Linked DNA regions of Rattus norvegicus. The protein of the gene in region 6 interacts with the protein of the main gene of each other region in a biochemical or structural test. Links are inferred from orthologs where the notes say so. Each region holds a gene or a part of one and is shown on either strand. Other genes may lie near its edges. The genes, in order: Mlana, Junb, Numb, Nfe2, Wbp2, Itch and Ndfip1.

What was found.
Region 1: the proteins of Itch (region 6) and Mlana form a complex in vitro, tested with the Homo sapiens proteins (2 studies listed by BioGRID and IntAct, with this or other methods). The link is inferred for Rattus norvegicus from reciprocal best matches to the Homo sapiens genes ITCH and MLANA.
Region 2: the proteins of Itch (region 6) and Junb form a complex in vitro, tested with the Homo sapiens proteins (2 studies listed by BioGRID, with this or other methods). The link is inferred for Rattus norvegicus from reciprocal best matches to the Homo sapiens genes ITCH and JUNB.
Region 3: the proteins of Itch (region 6) and Numb form a complex in vitro, tested with the Homo sapiens proteins (3 studies listed by BioGRID). The link is inferred for Rattus norvegicus from reciprocal best matches to the Homo sapiens genes ITCH and NUMB.
Region 4: of the proteins of Itch (region 6) and Nfe2, one has a biochemical effect on the other in vitro, tested with the Homo sapiens proteins (2 studies listed by BioGRID, with this or other methods). The link is inferred for Rattus norvegicus from reciprocal best matches to the Homo sapiens genes ITCH and NFE2.
Region 5: the proteins of Itch (region 6) and Wbp2 form a complex in vitro, tested with the Homo sapiens proteins (2 studies listed by BioGRID). The link is inferred for Rattus norvegicus from reciprocal best matches to the Homo sapiens genes ITCH and WBP2.
Region 7: the proteins of Itch (region 6) and Ndfip1 form a complex in vitro, tested with the Homo sapiens proteins (2 studies listed by BioGRID). The link is inferred for Rattus norvegicus from reciprocal best matches to the Homo sapiens genes ITCH and NDFIP1.

The regions. Positions count from the first base shown.
Region 1 is NC_086019.1:236,895,228-236,897,380, reverse strand, and holds the end of Mlana (melanoma antigen recognized by T-cells 1), read right to left. Parts: coding exon 2,063-2,153; intron 782-2,062; coding exon 713-781; 3' UTR 501-712; downstream 1-500. UniProt on the Homo sapiens protein: Involved in melanosome biogenesis by ensuring the stability of GPR143. Plays a vital role in the expression, stability, trafficking, and processing of melanocyte protein PMEL, which is critical to the formation of stage II melanosomes.
Region 2 is NC_086037.1:40,079,881-40,083,410, forward strand, and holds Junb (transcription factor JunB), read left to right. Parts: upstream 1-1,245; 5' UTR 1,246-1,515; coding exon 1,516-2,550; 3' UTR 2,551-3,030; downstream 3,031-3,530. UniProt on the Homo sapiens protein: Transcription factor involved in regulating gene activity following the primary growth factor response. Binds to the DNA sequence 5'-TGA[GC]TCA-3'.
Region 3 is NC_086024.1:109,281,664-109,285,863, forward strand, and holds the start of Numb (protein numb homolog), read right to left. Parts: upstream 2,801-4,200; 5' UTR 2,727-2,800; intron 2,721-2,726; exon of another isoform or gene 2,556-2,720; intron 1-2,555. UniProt on the Homo sapiens protein: Regulates clathrin-mediated receptor endocytosis. Plays a role in the process of neurogenesis.
Region 4 is NC_086025.1:136,260,734-136,263,159, forward strand, and holds the end of Nfe2 (transcription factor NF-E2 45 kDa subunit), read right to left. Parts: intron 1,737-2,426; coding exon 729-1,736; 3' UTR 501-728; downstream 1-500. UniProt on the Homo sapiens protein: Component of the NF-E2 complex essential for regulating erythroid and megakaryocytic maturation and differentiation. Binds to the hypersensitive site 2 (HS2) of the beta-globin control region (LCR).
Region 5 is NC_086028.1:101,810,808-101,813,787, forward strand, and holds the end of Wbp2 (WW domain-binding protein 2), read right to left. Parts: intron 2,694-2,980; coding exon 2,559-2,693; intron 2,340-2,558; coding exon 2,211-2,339; intron 1,760-2,210; coding exon 1,683-1,759; intron 1,572-1,682; coding exon 1,518-1,571; 3' UTR 501-1,517; downstream 1-500. UniProt on the Homo sapiens protein: Acts as a transcriptional coactivator of estrogen and progesterone receptors (ESR1 and PGR) upon hormone activation. In presence of estrogen, binds to ESR1-responsive promoters. Synergizes with YAP1 to enhance PGR activity.
Region 6 is NC_086021.1:164,104,426-164,108,595, reverse strand, and holds the start of Itch (E3 ubiquitin-protein ligase Itchy homolog), read right to left. Parts: upstream 2,801-4,170; 5' UTR 2,724-2,800; exon of another isoform or gene 1,348-2,723; intron 1-1,347. UniProt on the Homo sapiens protein: Acts as an Acts as an E3 ubiquitin-protein ligase which accepts ubiquitin from an E2 ubiquitin-conjugating enzyme in the form of a thioester and then directly transfers the ubiquitin to targeted substrates.
Region 7 is NC_086036.1:30,551,525-30,555,024, reverse strand, and holds part of Ndfip1 (NEDD4 family-interacting protein 1), read right to left. Parts: intron 2,924-3,500; coding exon 2,836-2,923; intron 2,149-2,835; coding exon 2,024-2,148; intron 1-2,023. UniProt on the Homo sapiens protein: Activates HECT domain-containing E3 ubiquitin-protein ligases, including NEDD4 and ITCH, and consequently modulates the stability of their targets. As a result, controls many cellular processes.

The DNA.
Region 1 (2,153 bases), on a different chromosome or scaffold from region 6:
TACTGTGGGATCCCTTTAGAACACAGAGCACCGTGGTTAACATTGTCCAGCAGAAGCAAGTTGTTTTAAACCTGTAACGGGATCCTTTCTGAACAGCCCATAACATCTGTGGCAATTCTGCACAGCTCACACTGGCCAATAGGTTGCTTTTAAAAGCTGAAGAGTAGTTTGAAAGCTAGCTGCGTTTCATTTTAGGAAGCAGGAGAAAGTCAGAAGAGGTGGCTGCATTGTTAAAAGTGCTCCCTGCTCCTTCAGAGAACTCATTTAGTTCCGGCACGCACAGGAGGCAGCTCAAAGCCTCCTGTAACTCCGACTCCAGGGAATCTAACAGTTTCCGGCTTCAGCAGGAATCAGCATGCAAATGCACATACATAAATGTGGGCACACATAAAGATAAAAATTTCTTTGCAAATCAGAGGCTCCCTGGTCATCCAGGTGAGTTCACCCCTCAAAACAATGCTAACAATGATGATTTAATGGCATTGCCACTGGGACAGATAATATACGTTGAGATATTTATTGACGCTTTTCCAAGGTTAATATTTCTCACCATTCCTCGCCACCCTTCTGCTTGCCCTGCCAAGAATTTAACCCTGGCCTGTTAGTATAGCTGTACATTCTATAGCATTCTAAAGCAAAACATGGGCATCTACTCAGCCTTAAAGCGAAAGCATGAAGGAAACTTTCAGAATTCTTAGCAGCTTCTCGGCTCTCAGGGTGAATATGGTGGTGGCGAGTGGTCTGAAGAGAGCTTCTCATAGGCAGGTGGAGCGTTGGGAACCTGTGAGGAGGAGAGAGGAGCAGCATGTAGACTTGGCAGCGGTGTGCATGGTCTGGGGGGGGAGGGGCAAGGCAGTTTGCATTGCATTTATGCTTTCCCTGTGGACTGAAGCTTCTAAACGTTTGTACAGATTTTTTCCTCCAATGGAGTAATTGTTAAATTTTACCAACTTGTATACTGAAATGTTGGAGGGAAGAGAAAGAGACAAAGATATTCCCAAAATTGAAAAGTGTATTTATGCTCAGATTGTCCCTCAGAATCTCCAAGTCCTAATGAAATAATTGGGTTTTATTTATTTAGCCATCTTGTTTATGGGGGCAGCACCGGTGCCATAGCCATGTGGAGGTCGGAGGACCATTGCGGGGGATGGGTTCTCTCCTTGGTTCAGGTGGGTCTCAGGGACCAACCTCAAAGTTGTCAGGCCTAGCAGCCCTGAGGCAACTCACCTACCCATGGATTCTGGAATCCTGAGTACCACTCAACAAACACTTCATCTTCACCACATGGGTCCCTGTTAGTTGTGTCTAAAAGCACATGTAGGACTTGGGGGAGGGGCATTGATGATACACATCATTAAAAGGCAGAGTCAGAGAGGCACTTGGACCTACCAGCTGAGCACAGTGTGCCAATCATTCAGCTAAGGAGTTTTCTCCAGGGGAAAAACCAAGGCATAAAAACAGCACTTGCCCTAGCTCACAAACAGGAAGTCATGGCGCTGAGACACAGCCCCGCTGTCTGACTCCAGAATCAACGCCATGCATTACTTTGATATGCCTAAGGTACAGGAGTGAATGCAGCAGAAATGCATGCAAGTTCCGTGCAGAACTTAAATGCCCAGTAACCTTTTCCCAACTAGGGTTTCAAGTGTTAAACACATGTGGTTGTGGCTCAGCTCTACAGGGGAAAATGTTCCCCTGTCTCTGACATGTAGGACTCTCATTGGCTGTAAAATCTAAGTAAAAGAGGACACAGCTTTAAAAAAAAAAAAAACATTTCCCATGTTTGTTTTTGTTTGTTTGTAAAATATACAAAACAAGAATTACCGTTCTGACCTGAACGGGGGAGGGGCAGGTGTGTGGCTCGCATCCAGGGCCTCCTGCATGCAAAGCAAGGGCTATCTTTGAGCTCAGATGCTAGTCCTAATCGTGAGCATTGCCATAGGTCAGTAACAGTTTAGTGACACTGAGTAGACTCAAGATTATGCTTTAGTAGAAATCACTTTGTTTACTTGGGCTGAAAGCAGCTGACATGAAAGTGCCCAGATGCACAATGGCCACATACCACAGGTTGGTGGTTTTTTTCTTGAGAAGACAGTCGGCTGTCTTGGTGATCAAGACTCTCACATAAGCATCTTTCCCTGGAGGTATTTTGA
Region 2 (3,530 bases), on a different chromosome or scaffold from region 6:
GTACTCAGCTGGATTGTGACTTCCCCAGGGGTCGCTCGCTGGGGTTCCTCTTCCCAGGCGCAGAATTTGGCAGGCCCAGGCTAGGGTGCACCAACCCTTAGGCTCAGAATGACGAGACAGGGCCGGGCTCTTTCCCCCTCCGGGCTATTGCCACACTTCCTGCCTCGGCTCTTTTTCCCTAGCCTGTTTCTAAGGAAGGGAGTGGGGTTGGGCGACCGCACCCCAGCTATCCCGCCTCTTCGGCCCTCCAAAAGCTGACAGGATATCGGGCGAGCCCAGAGTGACTAAGGGGAGGCTTTGGACTCAGGTACAGGGTATGTCAGTGCCTAGAGACCACTTACGAGGTACAGTCTCATTCTTACAAGCCCCTTGTCTCTGGGATCCTCCAAGTCGTCCTCTCGGGTAGATCTCAGATACCCTCCTGGCATCGCCTTTACAGCTCAGAAGGAAGCCATGTCCTGACCATTTTAACTTTCCATCAGAGTTCTGCAAATAATCACAGTGACCCCAATCTTTGCTAGATATGTTCCCATCTTCTACTCCTATTGCCTCAGCGTTTCCAGGACCCTTGTTCACTTTCTGCATATCTAAATTGACCTCCCCAAAATTACTCCCCTTTTCCACTTATGGGAGAACCCTCAGACTCATCTGTGGGCTTTAGAGCCCCTACTCATTTCTTATACAATAGGTACCTGACCCTGCTTCCTGAACCTTCTCTCCCACCTGTTCTTTAAGCACTTTGCACTCGGGGCCTCTAGTTAATTCCTAGGTCAAATGTTAACAATTGCTCCCGTTTTGTACCTTCCCTGTTTTCTGGGGTCTTCTAGTATATTGTCAGTTCACAAGTCACAGCTATTGTGGGTCCCGCGAGACTATTCCGGGTATATCCTGAGGCACCCCATCTCCACTTGCAGTGTACAGAGATCTCATAGCCACCGGGTTGTACTCCCGCAGTCCTAACTCCTATGTGCCTCGGTCCCTCAACATCCCTTTGCTTGAGTGTCTCTGTCTCTACAGCCCCTCCCCCTGCAGCCGCGCAGAGCCACCGGGCTCGTGGCCGCTGTTTACAAGGACACGCGCTTCCTGACAGTGACGCGAGCCGCCTCCTCCCCTTCCCCACGCTCTAGGAGGGGGCCGCGGGGGCCTGGCTCCCGCGTCGGCCAATCGGAGTGCACTTCCGCAGCTGACAAATTCAGTATAAAAGCTTGGGGCTGGGGCCGAACACTGGGGACCTTGAGGGTGGCCAGGCCAGCTTTGGATCCTGCAGGGAGCGGGGAGCTGAGAGAAGAGACGCTGAGAAAGCGGGCGCACCACGGAGGGAGAGAAAAGCTCCAGAAGCCGGGCAGCGCTTTTACGCACAGCTACCAACTGGCCGCTGCCGACCGTCTCCAGCTCCCGAGGACGCGCGACCGGACGCCGGGTCCCGCCACAGCCGAGGACAGCTCGCCGGTCGCCGCAGCGAGGCCCGGAGCGGCCCTTCAGGGGGACCTTTCCCAGATCGCCCAGGCCGCCCGGATGTGCACGAAAATGGAACAGCCTTTCTATCACGACGACTCATACGCAGCGGCAGGATACGGTCGGAGCCCTGGCAGTCTTTCTCTTCACGACTACAAACTCCTGAAACCCACCTTAGCGCTCAACCTGGCAGATCCTTATCGGGGTCTCAAGGGTCCTGGGGCGCGGGGTCCAGGCCCAGAGGGCAGTGGGGCAGGCAGCTACTTTTCGGGTCAGGGATCAGACACAGGCGCATCTCTGAAGCTAGCCTCCACGGAACTGGAGCGCTTGATCGTCCCCAACAGCAACGGCGTGATCACGACGACGCCCACGCCTCCGGGACAGTACTTTTACCCCCGTGGGGGCGGCAGCGGCGGAGGTACAGGGGGCGGCGTCACCGAGGAGCAGGAGGGCTTTGCGGACGGTTTTGTCAAAGCCCTGGACGACCTGCACAAGATGAACCACGTGACGCCCCCCAACGTGTCTCTGGGCGCCAGCGGGGGTCCCCAGGCCGGGCCTGGGGGCGTCTATGCTGGTCCGGAGCCGCCTCCGGTCTACACCAACCTCAGCAGTTACTCCCCAGCCTCTGCACCCTCTGGAGGTTCCGGGACCGCCGTCGGGACTGGGAGCTCATACCCGACGGCCACCATCAGCTACCTCCCACATGCACCACCCTTTGCGGGCGGCCACCCGGCGCAGCTGGGCTTGAGTCGCGGCGCTTCCGCCTTTAAAGAGGAACCGCAGACCGTACCGGAGGCACGCAGCCGCGACGCCACGCCGCCTGTGTCCCCCATCAACATGGAAGACCAGGAGCGCATCAAAGTGGAGCGAAAGCGGCTGCGGAACAGGCTGGCGGCCACCAAATGCCGGAAGCGGAAGCTGGAGCGCATCGCGCGCCTGGAGGACAAGGTGAAGACACTCAAGGCTGAGAACGCGGGGCTGTCAAGTACTGCCGGCCTCCTACGGGAGCAAGTGGCGCAGCTCAAGCAGAAGGTCATGACCCACGTCAGCAACGGCTGCCAGTTGCTGCTAGGGGTCAAGGGACACGCCTTCTGAGAGCCTCCCTTGCTCCATACGGACACCCCCAGCCTTGAAGGCTGGGCGCCCGCCCCCCACTGGGGTGAGGGGGGCAGGCGATGGGCACTCGCCCAGAGGTCTGGGGCGCAGCTCACACACTGGACTCTGGCCTGCCCGCCTGCGCCCAGTCCTTCCACCTCGAGGTTTACATGGCCCCCTTCCAGCGTATTTTGTATGTTTTTTTTTTCTGGAAAGAGACTGAATTCATATTGAATATAATATATTTGTGTATTTAACAGGGAGGGGAGAAGGGGGTTGTCGCGGCGGAGCTGGCCCCGCCGCCTGGTACTCAGCCTGTGGGGATACTAGGGAGGAACCTCCGCCCCCTGCCCTCCCCCTCTGCACAGTACTGTGGAGAAGAAACACGCACTTCGTGTCTAAAGTCTATTTTAAGATGTGTTTGTGTGTGTGTTTGACTTTTTATTGAATCTATTTAAGTAAAAAAAAAGTCTTTATTAATTTCTGTGGTCTCTTTCTTCCAAGCTGGGCGGATGGAGGGAGAAGATTGGGCTGCCCCAAGCCCGGGGCAGTTTGTAGTTCTCTCCTTTCGGGTATCTTAAGGTCCAGTACAAGCGCTCAAACCTCCCATCCCCTGAGTCCTGGCACCAGACGCTGCGCAGGCAGGCAGTGGCCGAGAACAAGCTATCCAGGCCCAGGACAAAACCCGGAATGTGCAAGCACGGCCCCGCCCAGCCCCGTGCGCCGGGGCTTTCCCCGCTGACGTTACGGAAGCGCTGCCCATATATGGGCCTATTCAGCTCAGTGACGCCAGCGCGGTCTCCGGGCAGATTCCGGGAATCCCCTCCCCCTTCTCTGCCGGGCAGGGCCGCGGCGCCGGGAAGGGGGCCGGGATTTTCCCGGGCAGGCGGCTTTCTGGGCGCGGAAAGCCCCAGGCCGGGGTCCAGGGCGCCCGCGGTGGGAGGGCTGTGCTCTCCGGAGCCCTGGGAGCCACCCGAGCG
Region 3 (4,200 bases), on a different chromosome or scaffold from region 6:
ATCTGGTTTTCAAGAGAAAAAGTCCCCAGCTCAAAAAAAAAAAAAAGTAAAGAAAAAACACTGTTCTAAGAATAAGACAAAACATTCATATACACTTTAAATACAGCTTTAAATACTGTAAATTACATTTAGTTTCCTGAGACAAGTTAAGTATACAAGATATACTGAACCCATTTCACTCTCAGGAAAATAAAATCCACAAAACAAAAGCTCCTTCACAACCCACAAGTGTAGCTGAGCCTCTACCCCATCAGTATTTTTTCTCTCTCCTTTCTCCCTCCTTGGTTTTGTTGTTTAAAGCCTGGTCTTATTCTCTCGCTCAGGCTGGCCACTGCCTTCCAGCAATCCTCCTGCCTCAGATGTCAGAGTGCTGAGATTAGCCTCTAAAATTAAGCTATCCTTTCATTTTTCTCTCTTGCAATGTTTACTTTTGTGCTTATTTATCCTTTATACATGAAATATTCTAAACCAGTTCAATGTTGAGTTAGTTGATCAATGTTAATATGTCTTCTCAGTACAGAGAGAGGAAAACTGGCAACAGGAGGGCACAGGTGAAGCTGCAGAGGGCCATCTGAGGAACACCACTGTTTCTCTGCCTCACGTTCCCTGTAAGTGAGCATGCCAGGTTCAAGGGATCCAAAAAAGTTCCCCAGAATCAGAGCCTCAACACAATTCACAGTAATTCAAACTGCTGTATCACCACCTGAGAACTACCACAAAATAAATAACTTAATTCCTTAATATTGAAGGGATGCTTCTCCCATGCTGTGACTCAAAATAGTTTGTCAAACTTTTCTGACTGTAAGACAAAGATTTTACACTGTGACTTAAAATATATGTAAGAAGTTTCCCTAAACAAGAGTTTTCTTTATCAAGTAGTATATTCTATTTTATGTTCAATATTCCATTTTTTTAAGATCTCAAAAAAAAAATTCTTGGGTTAGGGGAGTAGCACTTTTTATAGAGCTCATGCCTAGCATGTGTGAGATATTTAATATCACCCACAGTACTGGGGGGGTATCCTTTATAATAAGATGTGTTCTCTCTCTCATCTCTTCAGCAAGATGGGCAGGTATTCTAGTATTTTAAGGTTCTGACTGCTACTACTTTTCACTAAAGCAAGTTGTTCTCAGAATATGATCCCTTGAAGAACACTAAGCATCGCTTGGGAGAAATTCTTGAACCCCACCCCTGGGCCTTCTGGATCGGAAATCTCAGGTGGAGCCAACCAACCTGTAGGAAGGTGTTTCCAGTCTTGGATCTTTCTATGTAACAAACCAGTGCTGAGTTCTGCACCAGTCACCACTCCAAAAATTCTACAAATTCATAAAAAAAAAAAAAAAACACACACACACACACAACTTTTTTGGAATACTTGTAGTCTCAGCACTCAGGAGACAGAGGCAGAGGGATCTCTATAAGTTCAAGGTGAGCTTGGTCTCACCAGGGCTTCAGAGCAAGACCCTTTCTGAAAAACGTATGAATGAATAATAAAATAAATACAATTTAAATCCCTCTCAGTAAAAACTGTTAGTATTACCAGAGAAGTAATAGTACAAGAATTCTAAGTTATTTTCAATTTAGCAGGGCATGCCTATCCGCTTCATGAATACCCTCTATCTGATCAAGTCACAGAAGTCCTTTAGTTCGGCTATCCCTTCCCCTTTCCTCTCAAATTCCCCATCCTGTTGATGTTCTTATTTTCCAGTATTTTCGCTGTCATCCTAAAACTTATTTCTAAAGCCCTAGCCTCCAAGACACTGTAACCTTGCTTTTAAGGACGGAGTCTCTGGTCCAGCTTGGCATATTAGTAATAATTAGTTTCTCCTGTTTTCGGAAGCCCTCACTTGCACCATTGTTAAATTCTCAGATCCACTGGCTTGGCCAGCTTCCACAAGACTACAAGACCACTCACCCACTCCCGGGCAAGTTTCCCCAGATCTCTCTTAACTCCCTTCCTCCAGGGAAATTACTCTTCCCCTCTTACCTCCAACCCTTTTTGCTTAAGGGGAACTTCCACTTTGCCGCTGAACCCTTATCCTAGTCTCAAATCCCAACTCGTGCGACTCGAAGCCGTCACTTTGAGGGTCCTCCCTCAGTCCAGACTCCAGTCCCAGACCCGCTGTGGGGGGCAGGGCGCCGCGGTCCCTCCCCGGAGGAGTTCGTTCAAGGTCTCCACCCCGCAGACCCTTCCTCCTCCGACAGCTGCCCTTCTCACGGGGGTTCGCACCGTACTCGGCGCCTTTCCTCCATTCCCTGTCACCCCGGACCCCCGCCACCCTCGGTCTCCTCACCTCCCACCACTCTCCGACAGGGGCCACTCCCAGTTCTCTCGGCCCCCTAGGCTCCCAGAGCACCGAGAAACCCCGGTATCCCCTCGTCTCTCCGGCCCCGGGGCCACTTGCTCCGGGTCGCCCCCACTCGCAGACCCCCGCCGCTCGGGTCTCTTCAGGAAGCCGCACACACACAGGCTCCCGTCACTGTACCCAGGGCTGCCTCTGGGCAGCCCAAGGGACCTCCCGGCCTGCCCCCGCCGGAGTCCCACGCCAACCTACCTTCCCAGCGCGAACTCCGACGGCAGGAACCCGGCCGATCTCCCGCCGCGCCCGACCCCGACGCACCCGGGCCCGCAGCCCTGGCCCCCGGCCTCTGCCTCCGGAGCGCACAGCTAGAGTTTCCGGCCCGCCACCGCCTCCGCACCTCAGGCCCGCCGCGCCCGCACTCACCTGCCGCTGGCCCTGCACAACTCCGGCGCCTCAGACTCTACCTCCGCCGCCAGTAGTCACCAAGCGCCACCACCTCCCCCATGACAACAGGCCCGCCCCATCCCACACTTCCAACTTATCCATTGGCTGGAGGGGCGGCGGCTCTCTGCTATGATTGGTTGACTCTTCCTGCCTGTCATCCTGTCTTTACCGCCCCTTTTCCTGGACCGAGTCTTCGCCCCCGCCCGGACCTGGACCGGCCTAGATCGTGCTTTAGTTGTAATTGGTTGATGATTGGGCAGTTCGAAGTTATGATAGGCTACTGATAGTGTCTGTTACCTTAACAGGCAAGGAGTGTGCTGGCCGCGGTTGGTTCAAGCCCCGTGCACAGTTTGGTTGCGCAGTAGAAGCAAAGAAGGGGCAGATGCTCACGTCCGAGGTTACCGGGAAGGGTTAACTCTTTGTTGTGGGGCTGGCGCAGTAAACTCTTACTTTTCTGGTTCTCTTCCTAAAAGGGGAAACATCTCTGCCAGCTTAAGGAGGGAACGACTTCAGGGGTTGTGTCTAAGAACGGTCCCATTCCTCAACAGAAAGGTATCTCATAGATTAAAATTTCCCTCGTGTTTTCTTCAAGTTTCCCTGAAGTTCTTTCCGGTAGTCTCCACGCTTAAGGTTAGGGCAGAGCGCAGCAGTCTGTTTCCATTGCATTTATAAATATCGTCAAGAAATAATATTTATAATTGTGTCTGTCGTTTTAAGAGTTTCCCAGCTTCCAGACCCACTCTCCTGGGTCTGCCAAGTGACCAAACAACCATCAAGATTTGAAAACATGGGCAGCAATTTATCCTTATAGTGCTTTGGAAATAAGAAGTTCACGCGCCCACTATCACTTCCTAGCACTACCTGAGTTTTAAGTTTAGGAGTTCTTGTATTACTAGCTGTCTGCCAGATACTAATCAATCAATCAATCAATCTGTGTGTGTGTGTCTCTCTTTCTCTCTCTCTCTCTCTCTCTCTCTCTCTCTCTCTCTCTCTCTCTCTCTCTCTCGTCCGTCCCTCCTCTCTCCCTTTCTCCTTTCGCTCTCTTTCTACCTCTCCTATTCTTAGCAGTCTAAATTAGGACCATTGAATGAATCGCAGGGCTTTTCCCCCCATCACTTGGTACAATACACGAAAATAAATGATTGCACTTCTTATTCATTTGGGTACAAATCTCAGTAGGCATTTTTTGAGAAATCTGGTGTTGCTATAAAAATTCTGCTCCTAGAAATGCATTCGTCATTAGCTCTCTCTGCTTTCCTTTTTCCTTTTCAGCGCTTTTCCTACTCCGAAATAAGAAAATGCTGGCCTGGTTACTCTCTCAGTTTCTAAGTCAAGTTTAAATATACCTTCTCCACAACTCCACCCGGAATATGCAAAGCTACGATAATAGATTTTTTTAAGGAAGTCTATGTTCTCAAACACAAGGTCTTGGAATAAAGGCCTTCCTGTGGCT
Region 4 (2,426 bases), on a different chromosome or scaffold from region 6:
AGCAGTTGTCTTAACCAAGGATTGGTTTGTAGCCTTTTCAGTTGCCTAGCTTTGAGGCTCTGGTACAATGCATGCCTGAATGTGGGACATTACTAAGGTGTGACTGAAATGCCTTCAACTTTTGAGTGCTTGTTCAAACTTTACAATCCAGTCACTTAGGCTTCAAAAGATCTTTGGCCTCTCAGACCCAGAGTGAAAAGTAAGCAGGAGAAAAAGTTTGTGAATCTATCAGGAGTGTGTGTGTTTTCCAGAGACCTTCCACAGAGGGATACAGCAGCTCTTGGCATTTATGAAATAAGGGGGCCACCAAGGACAGGAGTTCCTCAAAGCACTTGGGCTCCTGACTCTGGAAGCTGCTGTGAAGGCAGGTGGATTGTCAAATTGCTCATGCCCTAATTTTATGTATGCTTTAAATGAGCTTAGGATTTCCTTATCTCCAATAAACAGCGGTTTCTGAGACAGTTTAGCTTCATGATCCTCAAAGAAGACACAATGGAAAGCTATTTCCACACAGCTCTTTATGGACCAAAGCTTGGACAAGAGGTAGAGGTGGGGACCTGAGAAGCCAACACTCACCTGGCCTCCAGGCAAACCTCAAATACATCTTTGAACTTCCAAATGGTCTTTTGGTCTGGAGAACTCAGCCTTGATTGGGGATTGGGAAGTACCTTTATCAGAAGGGAATGAGGGGAGTTCCTAGCACCAGTGTCCACCCCCTCTAGGCCAGCTCAATCTGTGGCCTCCATTTTGGTCCCACGGGGTACCAGAAAGATGGCCCCATCAGCAGCCTGTTGCAGTACATATTCCTCTGGTGAATAACTGTTGCCAGATTCATCCCGAAGATGCTGGAAAATATCATGGTACAGCTCTGTCAGCTGTTGGCGCATGACCTCCAGAGTGCGGTCAGCCTCCCCTCTGGCTCTGAGGAGCCGCTCCCTTTCACTGCCCAGCCGCTCCAGCTCTCGCTCCAACTGCACAATGGTTTCCAGTTTTCTCTTGCGACAGTTCTGGGCTGCCACCTTGTTCTTGCCCCGCCGACGGATGTCCCGAACTAGAGCCAGCTGGCTCTCCGTTAGCGGATACTGTGCCAACAACTCATTAAAGTCATCTACCGGCAAGTTAACTATCTTGTCCGTAGGGAAAGGAATCTTCATGGCCAGGGCCCGCCGCTCATCCCGACTCCCTGCCTCCCCACGGACAGCAGGCTTAGCCCGCACTGGACCGGAGGATGACTCTAAGACCAAGGGTGTTTCAGTGGGCGGAAGAGTATAGTTGGGGTGGGCCAAAGAGTTGGGCATAAGTGAGTAAGGGTACTCCACCGGGTACATGTCCACATACTCGCTCCTCCGCCTGCCAGCCTCTGTACCTTCTAGCTCAAGAGATTCTGCATCGCTGTAGTTGAGGGATAATCCCGAGTCAGATTCTGGATCTTCTTGGGGCTTGGGTTGCCCCACTGGCAGCCCAATGTCCAAGAGAGCTAAGGGGTCTGGGAGGGGCTCATTGAGCAGGCCTGAAAGGGTAAGTGGCTTTGACACGGGTATGGCTATGTTGCCATAGGAGTATGGGAGGTCTGGAGCATGGGGAGTGGATGCTGGGAGCTCATAAGGTGGTGGAGGAAGGGTGAAGCCTGCATCTGGATGAATTGAACAGGGGCAGTATGTTGGAGGTGGCAGTGGCCCAGGGTATGGGGTGGGTGCTTGAGGCTCAAAAGATGGCTCACTTGGAACATTTAGACCCTGCAAAGAGAGAAAAAAAAAGAGGCTTAGAAGATAGACTATGCTGGACAGTGGTGGTAAACCCCTTTAATCCCAGCATTCAAGAGGCAAAGGCAATCTGAGTTCTAGGCTAGCCTGCACTATACAGTAAATACCAAGACTACATAGAGAAACTCTGGGAAAAAGAAAGAAGCTGGGCATGGTGGGACACACCTTTAATCTCAGCACTCTGGACACAGAGACAACCAGATCTCTGAGTTCAAAGCCACCCTGGTCTACAGAATGAGTTCCAGGACAACTGAGACTACTCAAAGAAATCCTGTATCAAAATAGGGAAAGGGGGGTTTGGGGTTATGAAGAGGAAAAGGCTGTTTAAGCAGGAATAAAAGTTGGGATGGAGTTAAGGGGATGTTAGCCGGGAAACAGGGAAGGAGAATAACAATCAAAATGTAAATAAGAAATACTCAAGTTGGGGTTGGGGATTTAGCTCAGTGGTAGAGCACTTGCCTAGGAAGCGCAAGGCCCTGGGTTTGATCCCCAGCTCCGAAAAAAAGAACCAAAAAAAAAGAAAAAAGAAAAAAGAAATACTCAAGTTAATAAAGATAAAAAAAAAAAAAGCAGGAATAAAAGTCACTGTTGAGACCCTCAGAGAAGACAACCTCACATTGAACTGGCTACAGAGTCTTCTTTATCAGGAGAAGCCCTTACTAG
Region 5 (2,980 bases), on a different chromosome or scaffold from region 6:
TCACTAGCCCTGAGGCCCCCGGGGGTGGTGGCAGAAGAGGTGGCGAGGCCTTGGAGCAGCCTTTGCACATGGGAGCATTTTGGTCAGGAGAGGACACTGCGGCACTGGAATCTCCCACAGCTCTTTGGCTCACTTCGAGCGGGGTGCGGGGTACAGGTCGGCTAAAGACTTTGCTTTATTCCCACGGTAGGTCGTCTTCTTTAGGTAAGGCAGCATGGAGGCACACACCATGGTAGCCAGCCCAGCAACTCTCCCTCACATTAGTCCTGGCATGCCTTGCTCAGGAGGGGATTGGAAGCAGCAGATGGGACACAGGCCTCTCTCCTGTCCCCCGCTGGCAGTGTGTGGCACACGCACCATCCCAGACAGGTGCGGTGCCTCTGTTAAGGAGACTGAGAGCCACACGAACACTCTTAAGACTCAGTGAGGAGGAAGCTGGCTTCTAGCTCCGCCCCCAGCAGCCACCTCACCCTGGTCACCACACAGGAGTCAAGTGAGCATCCAGTCACTTCATTTTTTTTACTATTTCACAGTTGTAGCAAACAAATCAAGGTGCAAACAGGGTTTATTTCACATTAATATATTAACTGGACTTTTTGTGTCAAATAAATAGGAATTCTCTTTAAATAACCATCTCCTTGTTTTGCATCCAGACCAGGAACAAACGAGAGCAACTCTTAGTGCATCCAGGGGGCGAAGCGCATGGAGAGGCGGGCTTGGGGTATAGGTCATGTGGTTGGAGGAATCCCAGACCAAAAGGCCCAATGGGGCAGACATGCATTCTCTATCGCTCCTGCAGAGAAGGCCCTTGTGAAGGGAAAAGGAGAGTGAATAATCCCCAGAAACACCAGCGGAGGGATGGAGGGGCAGGGGGGCGGAGGGGCAGAGGGGCTTCCTCTCTGCCACAGTGGCTTTGCTTCTGATGCCAGCCACTGGAAGCTCCAGGTAAAATCCCTGGAAGCAACAGAAAGAACAAGCGAGGCCGGGTGAGTGTGACTGTCTGCTGGGACAGCGGCCTTCCAGGGCCAGGCACACGCGGGGGGGGGGGGGGGGGGGGAAGGAAGGGGAAGGAATGTGAACATGACTGGGCAGGGCCTGTGGGAGACGAGGCTGGTCTTCTGAGCCCAAGAGATGAAGAACAATGGTCACCAGGCTCAAGGGGCTGGACAGCAGTAGAGGAGTGGCCAGAGAGTCCCTCTGTGTGTGTGTGTGTGTGTGTGTGTGTGTGTGTGTGTCCACTATCATGAGGAACAAGGGGTTACCCCGTGCTCCTGTGAGCTCCAGAGATGGTTAAAGGGAGGCTGGGTAGAACAGCGCTGAGAGCTGAGCTAGGGTGGGAAGCTGGGACCCTCTCAGAGGCCAGGAGTTCCACCTTTCTATCAGGGCTAGCTCCTGCTAACTTTATACTTAGGCCTGGGGAAGAACAGGGCCTTCCCTGGCCTCCTGGAATCCCAGATGCAGCTCCATGGGAGGCCCAGGAAGGGGTCTTCAGGTAAGAGGCAGGAGGTGGGCAGGGTCTACTGGGTCTTCTTGTCTTCTGGAGGGTAGTAGGGTGGTGGTGGTGGCTGGCTCTAGAGAAAAAAGCACAAAGCTCCCATGAGACATCATAGGACTCTCTGTGCTCGCTTCCAACACCAGCTCCCAGCCTGCGTGACTGAGAAGGCGGTCTCCTGCCAACTCACCGTGGGCATGTAGACATTGTGTGGGTTGCCCGGGTTGTAATAGGCGCTGGCAGCGGCTTCTGCAGCCTTGGCCTCAGCTGTGAACACAAACACACAGGAGACGGCAACAAGCAGTAAGCCTCTCCTCACCCTCACCTGAGTTCCTAGGATCATTTGTAGATGAGAACACCGAGGCACAGAGGGTGACCGTCTGGGTCCAAAAAGGTCACCACAAGCCAAGAAGCCACCACAAGCCAAGGAGCTGCAGAGGCCTCATCTCATTGTACCTTCAGATTTGTGTTCTGTGGCACCTGGGATAGAACCTAGGCCACCCCATTCAGGCAAGTGCTCACTGAACCACACCCAGCCCTTGGAATATAGCTCTTCACCACCAGGCTACCGCTTGTTGATGCCCTTGGGTGGTCTGTAACCCAGGCCCTTCGTCACTCGAGGGTCAGTAGTCTCCAGCCATTGTGTGGAGTTCTCTGTAAGATCTTGGGGAAGAGAGGGCTGGCCCTGAAGGACAGCTAGAAGCTGAGGGGGCCTCACCTGCAGGAGTAGGGGGGGCACTGGGGCCGCTGACGACGGGAGGCTCCATGGGCCCAGGATAGGGTGGTGGTGGGGGCTGTACATATCCCATGGCCCCGTCCATCATAGGAGGCCCAGGGTAGAACTCTGCTTGGGAAGAGAGCGACAGAGACAGTGAGCGGCCTACTTGGGTCCCTCATAAGGCTACATCTGGAGTGGCTGTCCTATCTAGTTCCTTGGAGTGCCCTCTAAACTCTCCAGTGTCTGTTAGGCCTAAAGCATGAAAGGCACATCTCCCCTCGGCAGCTTGAAGGTATGGTTAGTGGGTGGGTGCGGAGGCTGAGTCTGGGCAGCAGAGGACACACTCACCGGGTGGGGGCGGTGGATAGGGGTAGCCAGGAGGGCAGGGGTACATTCCATTGGCGACTGGTGGGGGAAAGACATAGGCCCCGCTGGGCATGTAAGGGTACCCATAGGCTCCATTGGGGACTTCACCTCTGGAGGCTATAAGTACAAGGGGAGAGAGGCATGAGTGTCACCTGCTCCAGGGACTGATGGGCCCCAGGACTGTGCCCACAGATGTGCCCTACCACCATTCCACTGCCCACCCCAAGGGGTCTGCCTAGGTCACCATGTGGTGAGGGGAGGGTGGAAAAAAAAGGCCAAAGGGCAACATGGTGGGGTCAAGGACAGGCGTCAGAGGAAGCGAGGGAGAGCTGTGCTGGGGGGGAGGGAGTATGAGAATGAGCCCAGCACTGGGTGATTTACAATGGCGGCTGGATGGTAGTTTA
Region 6 (4,170 bases):
GTCCCATAACCCTCTCCTCCACTGCTTTCTGTGCACTGAACCCCTTTTCTCCCACATCCCTCCTAAACCACACACGCCTCAACGTCTTGAGGCGTTTCCTTCGGCACTACCTTCCCTTTCTTCACCTGTCACATTCCTACTCATCCTCCAGAACAGCGGCTCTCACCCTTCCTGACGCTGTGACCCTTTAATACAGTGCTCCATGTAGTGGGGACCCCAACCATAAAATTATTTTTGCTGTTTCTGCATGATTATAATTTTGCTACTGTTATGAATACAATGTAAATATTTTTAGAGCTAGACATTTGCCAAAGGGGTCAAAACCCTCGATTTGAGAACCACTACTCTAGAACTTCAGGTCCATAGACAAAATCTTTTTTGAGCCAGGGCCCACTATGTAGCTCTGATGGGCTGGAACTCACTATGTTGCCTCTCATTGACAGGTCTTGCCACTCCCCTCAACAATTCCCACACTGACCACTTCCACTCTCTCTCCTATCTCAAAGCTTTCTGTGCTGTCCTTGTTATAACCATACTATTATTTGCCTCAGTGTTCCCAAAACCATCCCCACTACCTACAGCACATTTGTAATAAAGTGAGAGAAGCCAATGCAGATCCACTAATCAATCTCAAAAGTGAGACCTGAGAACGTCTACTTTTTAAAAAGGGTCTCGAGCAGCCCAGGCCGGCCTCACCTCCCAATGCTGCTGAGAGTTAAATAAACTCTGGCTCTTGTCTATGGTAAACAAGTGCTCTACCAACTGGGCTGCAAACTCTACTTTCAACGATCTCCTGGTCCAGCAAAATAGTTCAACAGAAAGCCACTTGCTACACAAGTCCGATGACCTGAGTTTGAACCCTGGAACCCACAGGAAAGAGGAAACACTCTTGAAGGTTATCTTCAGACTTCCAACTCAAGTCATGGTGTGCGCACGCACACATACACACACAAATAAACAAATCTAAAAATTTCTCCTGAGCCCATTCTGATGGTATGTACCTATAATCCCAGCACAAGGGAGGGAGAGGCAAGAAATCAGAATGTTTGATGCCAGTCTAAGTTTACTACAGTGTGTTCTAGTCCAGTCAGAGATACATAGCAAATCATGTCTCAAAACAAAAACAAAAAACCCAAAAGCTGGGGTTGGGGATTTAGCTCAGCGGTAGAGCGCTTGCCTATCGACCGCAAGGCCCTGGGTTCGGTCCCCAGCTCTGAAAAAAAGAAAAAAAAACAAAAACAAAACAAAACAAAAAAAAAAAAACCCAAAAGCTCTTGTAACTGTGCTAATGGACAAATTCTGGGACCATGGATCAGTCTGTCTCTTAAGTAAAGCTAGTTTTTGTTTTGTTTTTTTTTTTTTTTTTTTTAAAGAATGTAGAACTTACTCTAGAATACAATAAAAAGGTATTAGGCACTTGCTTTTGGTTTCATAGTATATCCTTGTTGACATCTATTCTAAAGTCTGAATTCCTGAACTCATGCACACAAAGTATATTCACTGTTCAAAAGAGAATTTCAATCTTTCCTAAACGTGCAAAATTAAGCCTTAAGTAAACCTGTGATACACAAGGTTGAATTTCAAATGTGTCCCCTAAAAGACTTTATTTCAGATGAGAACGGAGCCCTTTGCCAATCCTGGGAGTGAACAGACACGGTCTTTACCTACTTTCATAAGATAAGGAGACAGGAGAAACACCCACTTAAGAGAACAATGATGGGGGGCTAGATTGTGTTCTGTCAACTTTGAAGAGGAAGAAAACCTCACTCTTCTCCCCCAATGCTCCCTTTAGAGAGAGTTCACTGCAGCTCTTAAAGAGCAGAAAACTGAACAGGATTAGTATTCTAACACAGTCAAGAAAACAAGTGACTGGGGAACCGTGAATTTTGGGTACTTTGCAAGTTCACCTGGTCACATCTCTAATTGGGGCCCAATGTCTACTTCGGGTGCACTGACCCTTTATATATATTTTTTCTCTTTTGAAGTTGCAGCCAGGAACTAAGTCTCAAAACGCGAGTCTTCTATTTAAAAGTCCTGCCCTCATCAGGCTTCCACCTTTCAAATACGCTCACCTCTACTTTTTTTTTTCCCAAAGAAAAGTACGCTCTCAGTAGGAAGGACTGTGACAGCTCCACGTCTGCAAAAGTCGGCGGCGCCGGCCTGGGCCGGGACCACCACGAGTGGGGACAATGGAGGGAGGAGGGAAGTACAAGACAGAAGGGGAGGCAGTCACTGGGGAAGGTCCTCCGCGAGTGGGAGCTTGGAAAAGTCTCGGGGGAGCCTGCCAAGTGGCAGGTGGGCCCGGCCGCCGCCCCTCAAAGGGCCACGTCGCGCGGGCGGGCCGCTGCCACCGGGCCCCGCGCGTAGGCCGAGCCGCAGGAGAGGAGCCCCCGGGCGCGGCAGCGGGGCGCGGGGCTGGACCCTACCCACGTCCGCCGCGGCTCGGCTCTCTCCCAACTTGGGGCTTGCGGGTCCACAGGCTCCGGGCGCCTAGGCCAAGCACTAGCAGTTCAGCTCGACCTGCTGACCCACCCGCCACCCGGCTCCGGCCACCAGCCCGCTCTCCGGGCGCCCCCCACGGACACCGGCTGTGGGAAGAGCAGCCCCGGCTTTAGGTCTCGACTCGAACGCAACACTCCTCTACCCTTCGCATTCTCCATGCCTTTTCATCCAAGCTCCCTCCAAGCCACAGAAATGACCCCAGTCTGCCTGCGGGTGTTTACCGGGACTCGGGGCGGCGACGACTCCTCAGTCCCTCCGCTAAGATGGCAGCCGGTCCCGAGCCCCGACTACAGCGACTAGAGCTAGTTCACACTTAGTGCGCAGGCGCGTCCTCTTAGACGCAGTCCGGACTACAAGCCCCAACAGGCTTTGCGCGCCAGCCTGCTAAATCATTTTTCCTCACCTCCAGGTGAAGTGAATTTAGCCTTGCTCTCTACATATCCACGGCTTTTTCTTTTCTTCCTTCTTTTTCTTCTTTCCTTTCTCCTTTCCTTTCTTTCTCCCTTCCTTGTTGCTTCCTTTTAACCCCTTCTTCCCTGCCAGAACCTCAAAAAACTGTTACCAAACGCTAGGGTGTCTCAGAATCATTTGACCAGCTTTTAAAAACAGACTGCTGATCTCCACCACCAGTTTCTGACTCAGTAGATCTGGCATGGAGTGCGGGGTGTTGGGGGGTGTTTTACAATTTGCATTTTTAACAAGTTCTCTATTGATACTCCTGACAGCAGGAATCACAATTTAAGAAGCACTGTGCGGGTTCTATCCTTCTGGAGTTACACTGACTGGGTTCAAATTCTCCTTTCTCCACCTTTTGACAGGGCGTTCTTAGGAGGGTGACAGTTTGACGGCGCCAACGCGGCCTGAATTCTAAAAACTGGAAAGCATACTTCCTAACGTTTACAACAAAACTGAGAAAAATGTCTGTTGTTACCTTTTCAGATGCTTACATTAAACCGCGTGCAGGAAAATCGCATCTAACCCAGGCAAATCGCATCTAAGCCTATCCCCAATCTCCTTCATGGAGGTGTTTGTGAGAATTAATAGGCTGTGCAGTAGTAGTAATAGAGGTACTACTTAAGCACTTAAATAATTAGCAGACTTTGCTATTAATGTTTATCCTGTCTCCTCGTAAGGAAACCATCTAGAAAGTCACTTACACTTTTTGAAATACCTTTGAAACCACCATATTATGAATTACATGCCGAGGGGTTGGGGATTTGGCTCAGTGGTAGAGCGCTTGCCTAGCAAGCGCAAGGCCCTGGGTTCGGTCCCCAGCTCCGAAAAAAAAAAAAAAAAAAAGAAAAAAGAAAAAAGAAAATGAATTACATGCCGAGAGAGTTTATTAAACAATAACGATTCTGAGTTGGAAAGATGGTCCAGTGGGTAAACACTCTTGCCGTGCAAGCACAAGGATGCTTGAATCTCGGCATTCATGTAAAAGCTGGCACAGACCCCTTTCCCCCAGCACTGGCGGGCAAACCTATGAGCTCTCTAGTCGACCCGCTTAGACTACACAGTAAGCTTCAGGTTCAGTTAGAAGACAGAGACAAATGGGTTCACGGTTAGCCAGGCCTAGATATCTTGAGATTTCTGGACCAACTAATGTTACATGATGAAACCCTAAGTTTGGGTTTGGTGTGTGGGGGCGGGGTGTTGCTTTTTTAAGTA
Region 7 (3,500 bases), on a different chromosome or scaffold from region 6:
TACTAGCTGACCTGCTTCCCTTCCAGAGAGTCTTCTTTGCCTCTTATCTCCCCACAGGAGCACCAGTGTTACAAACCATGTACTATATTACATCTGGCTTTTACATAGGTTTTAGGACATCACAATTTTGTGGCAAGGACTTTCCCTAGATCTTAATATTTTATTTATTAATAAAGTTAACAATAAAATTTAAAAAGAAGGAACAACTTCTCTTGCAGTTGGGTCTTAAAAGTCCACGAGTTTTGACTCTTTTCTTATTTTCCTTAAAGTCCATGCTTTTAGCTATATAAATTAGCTATCCAGGGAAAAGCCCACAATTATCTAATTTTCAAAGGATTTTGGATTCCCAAAATAGCTAATGAGCTCTTTAGAACTGCTGTGAAAAACTGCAATGGACAATTAACATCCATTAATTACTTATGTGTGTTGTTTATGTGTAATGCCATGCACAATGAAAGATGTACCTGTGTTCTGACACACAACAGAAGCCAGAGCAGGACATCAGATGTCTGCTTCTACCACTCTTCACCTAATCTCCTCAAGACAAGGTCTCACTAAACCAGACACTTGCCTTTGGACTAAACTGCTGGCCAGCAGACTCTGGGCCCTGCCCATCTCCACTTCCAGCACTGTGGAGGTTACAGACTTGGACAGTTATCTTTTTATGTGGGTGGGGACAACTGAGGTCCTCACACTTGAAAGCAGGTGCTCATATCTACTGAACCATCTTCCCAGCCACGATATGCCGAATTATAGTAATCTGGCTTTGCCAGACAGGTTGACAATAGCAACAAGCTCATCTGAAGACAAAGGAGACTTGGTTTGTTTGTAGACAGCCTTTTCTGTACAGCCCTAGCTGGCCTGGAACTCACTATGTGACAGGCTGGATTAAACTCACAGACCCACCCATCTCTGCTGGGATTACAGTGTGGGTTGCCTATGTGTAGCAGCAAAGTATACTTTATTGAACCCACTGGTGAACCTGATTCAACATCAGGCTTTCTATTTTTGTTTTTTAGGACAGGGTTTCTCTTGTGTATCCCTGGCTATCCTGAGATTCTGTAGATCAGCCTGTCTCTGCCTCCCAAGTGCTGGGATTAAAGGTGATCATCATTACCACCAAGAAACATCTGAACTTTTAATGTATACTTTGTATCAAATCCTCAACTCTCACAGCAGCTCCGTCGAGATCAGGCACTCCATCAAGGAGTATTCTGATAACACTGGGAGGGCCCAAGCCCTGAGTTCTAGGAGACTGAGCATATGCATATTTTGGGCTTAAAGAATTTCTAGAAACCCAGGCCAAGCATCTTGTGGACTTTGGCTCCCTCTTTGAAGCCATTTTATATAGCTGTGTGACTTTGAATAAATTAAAGCTAATTTTGTTTTTTAAAAACCCTATATGTGGGGTGGGGGATTTAGCTCAGTGGTAGAGCGCTTGCCTAGCAAGCGCAAGGCCCTGGGTTCGGTCCCCAGCTCCGAAAAAAAAAGAAAAAAGAAAAAAGAAAAAAAAAAAAAAACCCCTAGATGTTCTAGAATTTAAAGTATTTTATGTAATTTCACCTGGGTATTCTTATATTAAAGACACACATTTTTATAATTTTATTAAAAGAAATTCCCTATGGAGCAGTAAATACTTAACCTCAGTCCTAGTAGGAAAAATTAAAGAAAGATAAATAAAGTTGTGAGATTAAAATTTCAAGAGAATTAACGTGAAGGATGCCTACCTCTTGTGAGATTGCAAATACTCTTTGTGTTATAAAAACTCCAGACTATACATTCATTAGCATATTTTAAGCATCAAAACAACCTGTAAGATAGATCACCTGCTTGAATTTGAACATGAAATATGGAGACAGGAACTCTGCAATTGATTTTAGCTCAGTTTATCGTGGAAACAGAACAAAGACAAACCAAATTATCACTTTACATGTCGAAATAACAAAAGGCAAAAATGACAACATTCAAGTCATTCTAATTACTGCCTCTCTTCACAATCTATGTTCTCTGCTATGCAACTTACCCTGACAATAAGGATCCACTTAATTAGAGAAAGACCAAATCCTGAGATGGCCCCATACCTTCCCGCAGCTGAGGTGGTCAGGCAAAAAGACAAGAAAAACCCAATCCAGTTGAAGAGGAATGCCACTGTAAGAGTGGAGGGAAAGGTGTGTTAGAAGTGCACGCTGCAGCAGCCTCTGCTTGTGTGGCTCTCAAGGACAGAAAGACAGCTTCACCTGGACAGCCCACCTCCGCCTCCCCACAGGCGCCGCTCTTTATTCCATCTCCCTCAAGAGCAAAGGAAAAGACTCTGAGTCTCTTGCTTTATCCTCCATGGTGCTGCTGTCAATGCCCAACAACCTGTTTCTGTCTTTGCTGCCATACAGGTTAATAAGTAAACTAAACGCTTTGGAAATTAAACTGGAGCTCCCAGAGGAATGTGATTCAAGTTTCTCATCCTCCTGCTGTTTTCTGACAGCTCTTGGCATCCCTTCTTTTGCATTACACTTTCTGTGCTTTTAATAGAGTAAATAAAAAGTGCCCATTGCTAAATGAGGAACATAAAAACATAAATATAAGACAACATAAAAAGTGGGAAACCAGATTGACTTTGATCTATCAGAAAAATAGACGTTTACAGGACAAAACCTATCAAAGTTGGCACTCTCACTCGGCCACACAGGTATGAGCGGGTGTGACAGCAGTGGACCCTGGAAGATTGGACTTGACCTGTGTTGTGTACAGATGCAGCCCCATAACTGCTTTAATCATCCTTTCCACTGATGAACTCAGAGCACTCGGGTCTGTAGGAGTGCCTGGTGTGTACAAACTTACTGAAAAAGGTTAACATAAAAATCCCATCGTTTCCTATCCTCAGCTGGTCAGCATCATCAAAATCATCCCGACCCACAAAATCTTCATCCTACATGAAGGAAAAAGAATGAGACAAGGTCATAATGAATTACTTCTAGACAAAGGAGTGACATCCGGAAAAACACAAGGATCTAAGAGTGCATTTATTACTGGTTCAACTCAGAACTATGAGCGTTAACGCTCAGCAACTTAGAGCAGATACAATCATTTTAGTATCTCCAGAGCCTTCCTTCTAAACTATTTATTTCATAGTCTTAGTTACTATTCTTATTTTTTAAATTAAATTTATTTTTATTTTATTGGTGTTTATGACTGCATGTCTGTGTGAGGGTGTTGGATCCCCTGGAACAGGAGTGTACTGGCTAGTTTTGTGTGTCAACTTGACACAAGCTGGAGTTATCACAGAGAAAGGAGCCTCAGTTGAGGAAATGCCTCCATGAGACCCAGCTGTGAGGCATTTTCTCAACTAGTGATCACGGGAAGGAGGACCCAGCCCTCTGTCTCTGGGCTGGTTGTCTTGGGTTCTATGAGAGCAAGCTGAGCAAGCCAGTAAGTAACAACCCTCCATGGCCTCTGCATCAGTTCCTGACTCCTGCTTTGAGTTCCAGTCCTGACTTCCTTTGGTG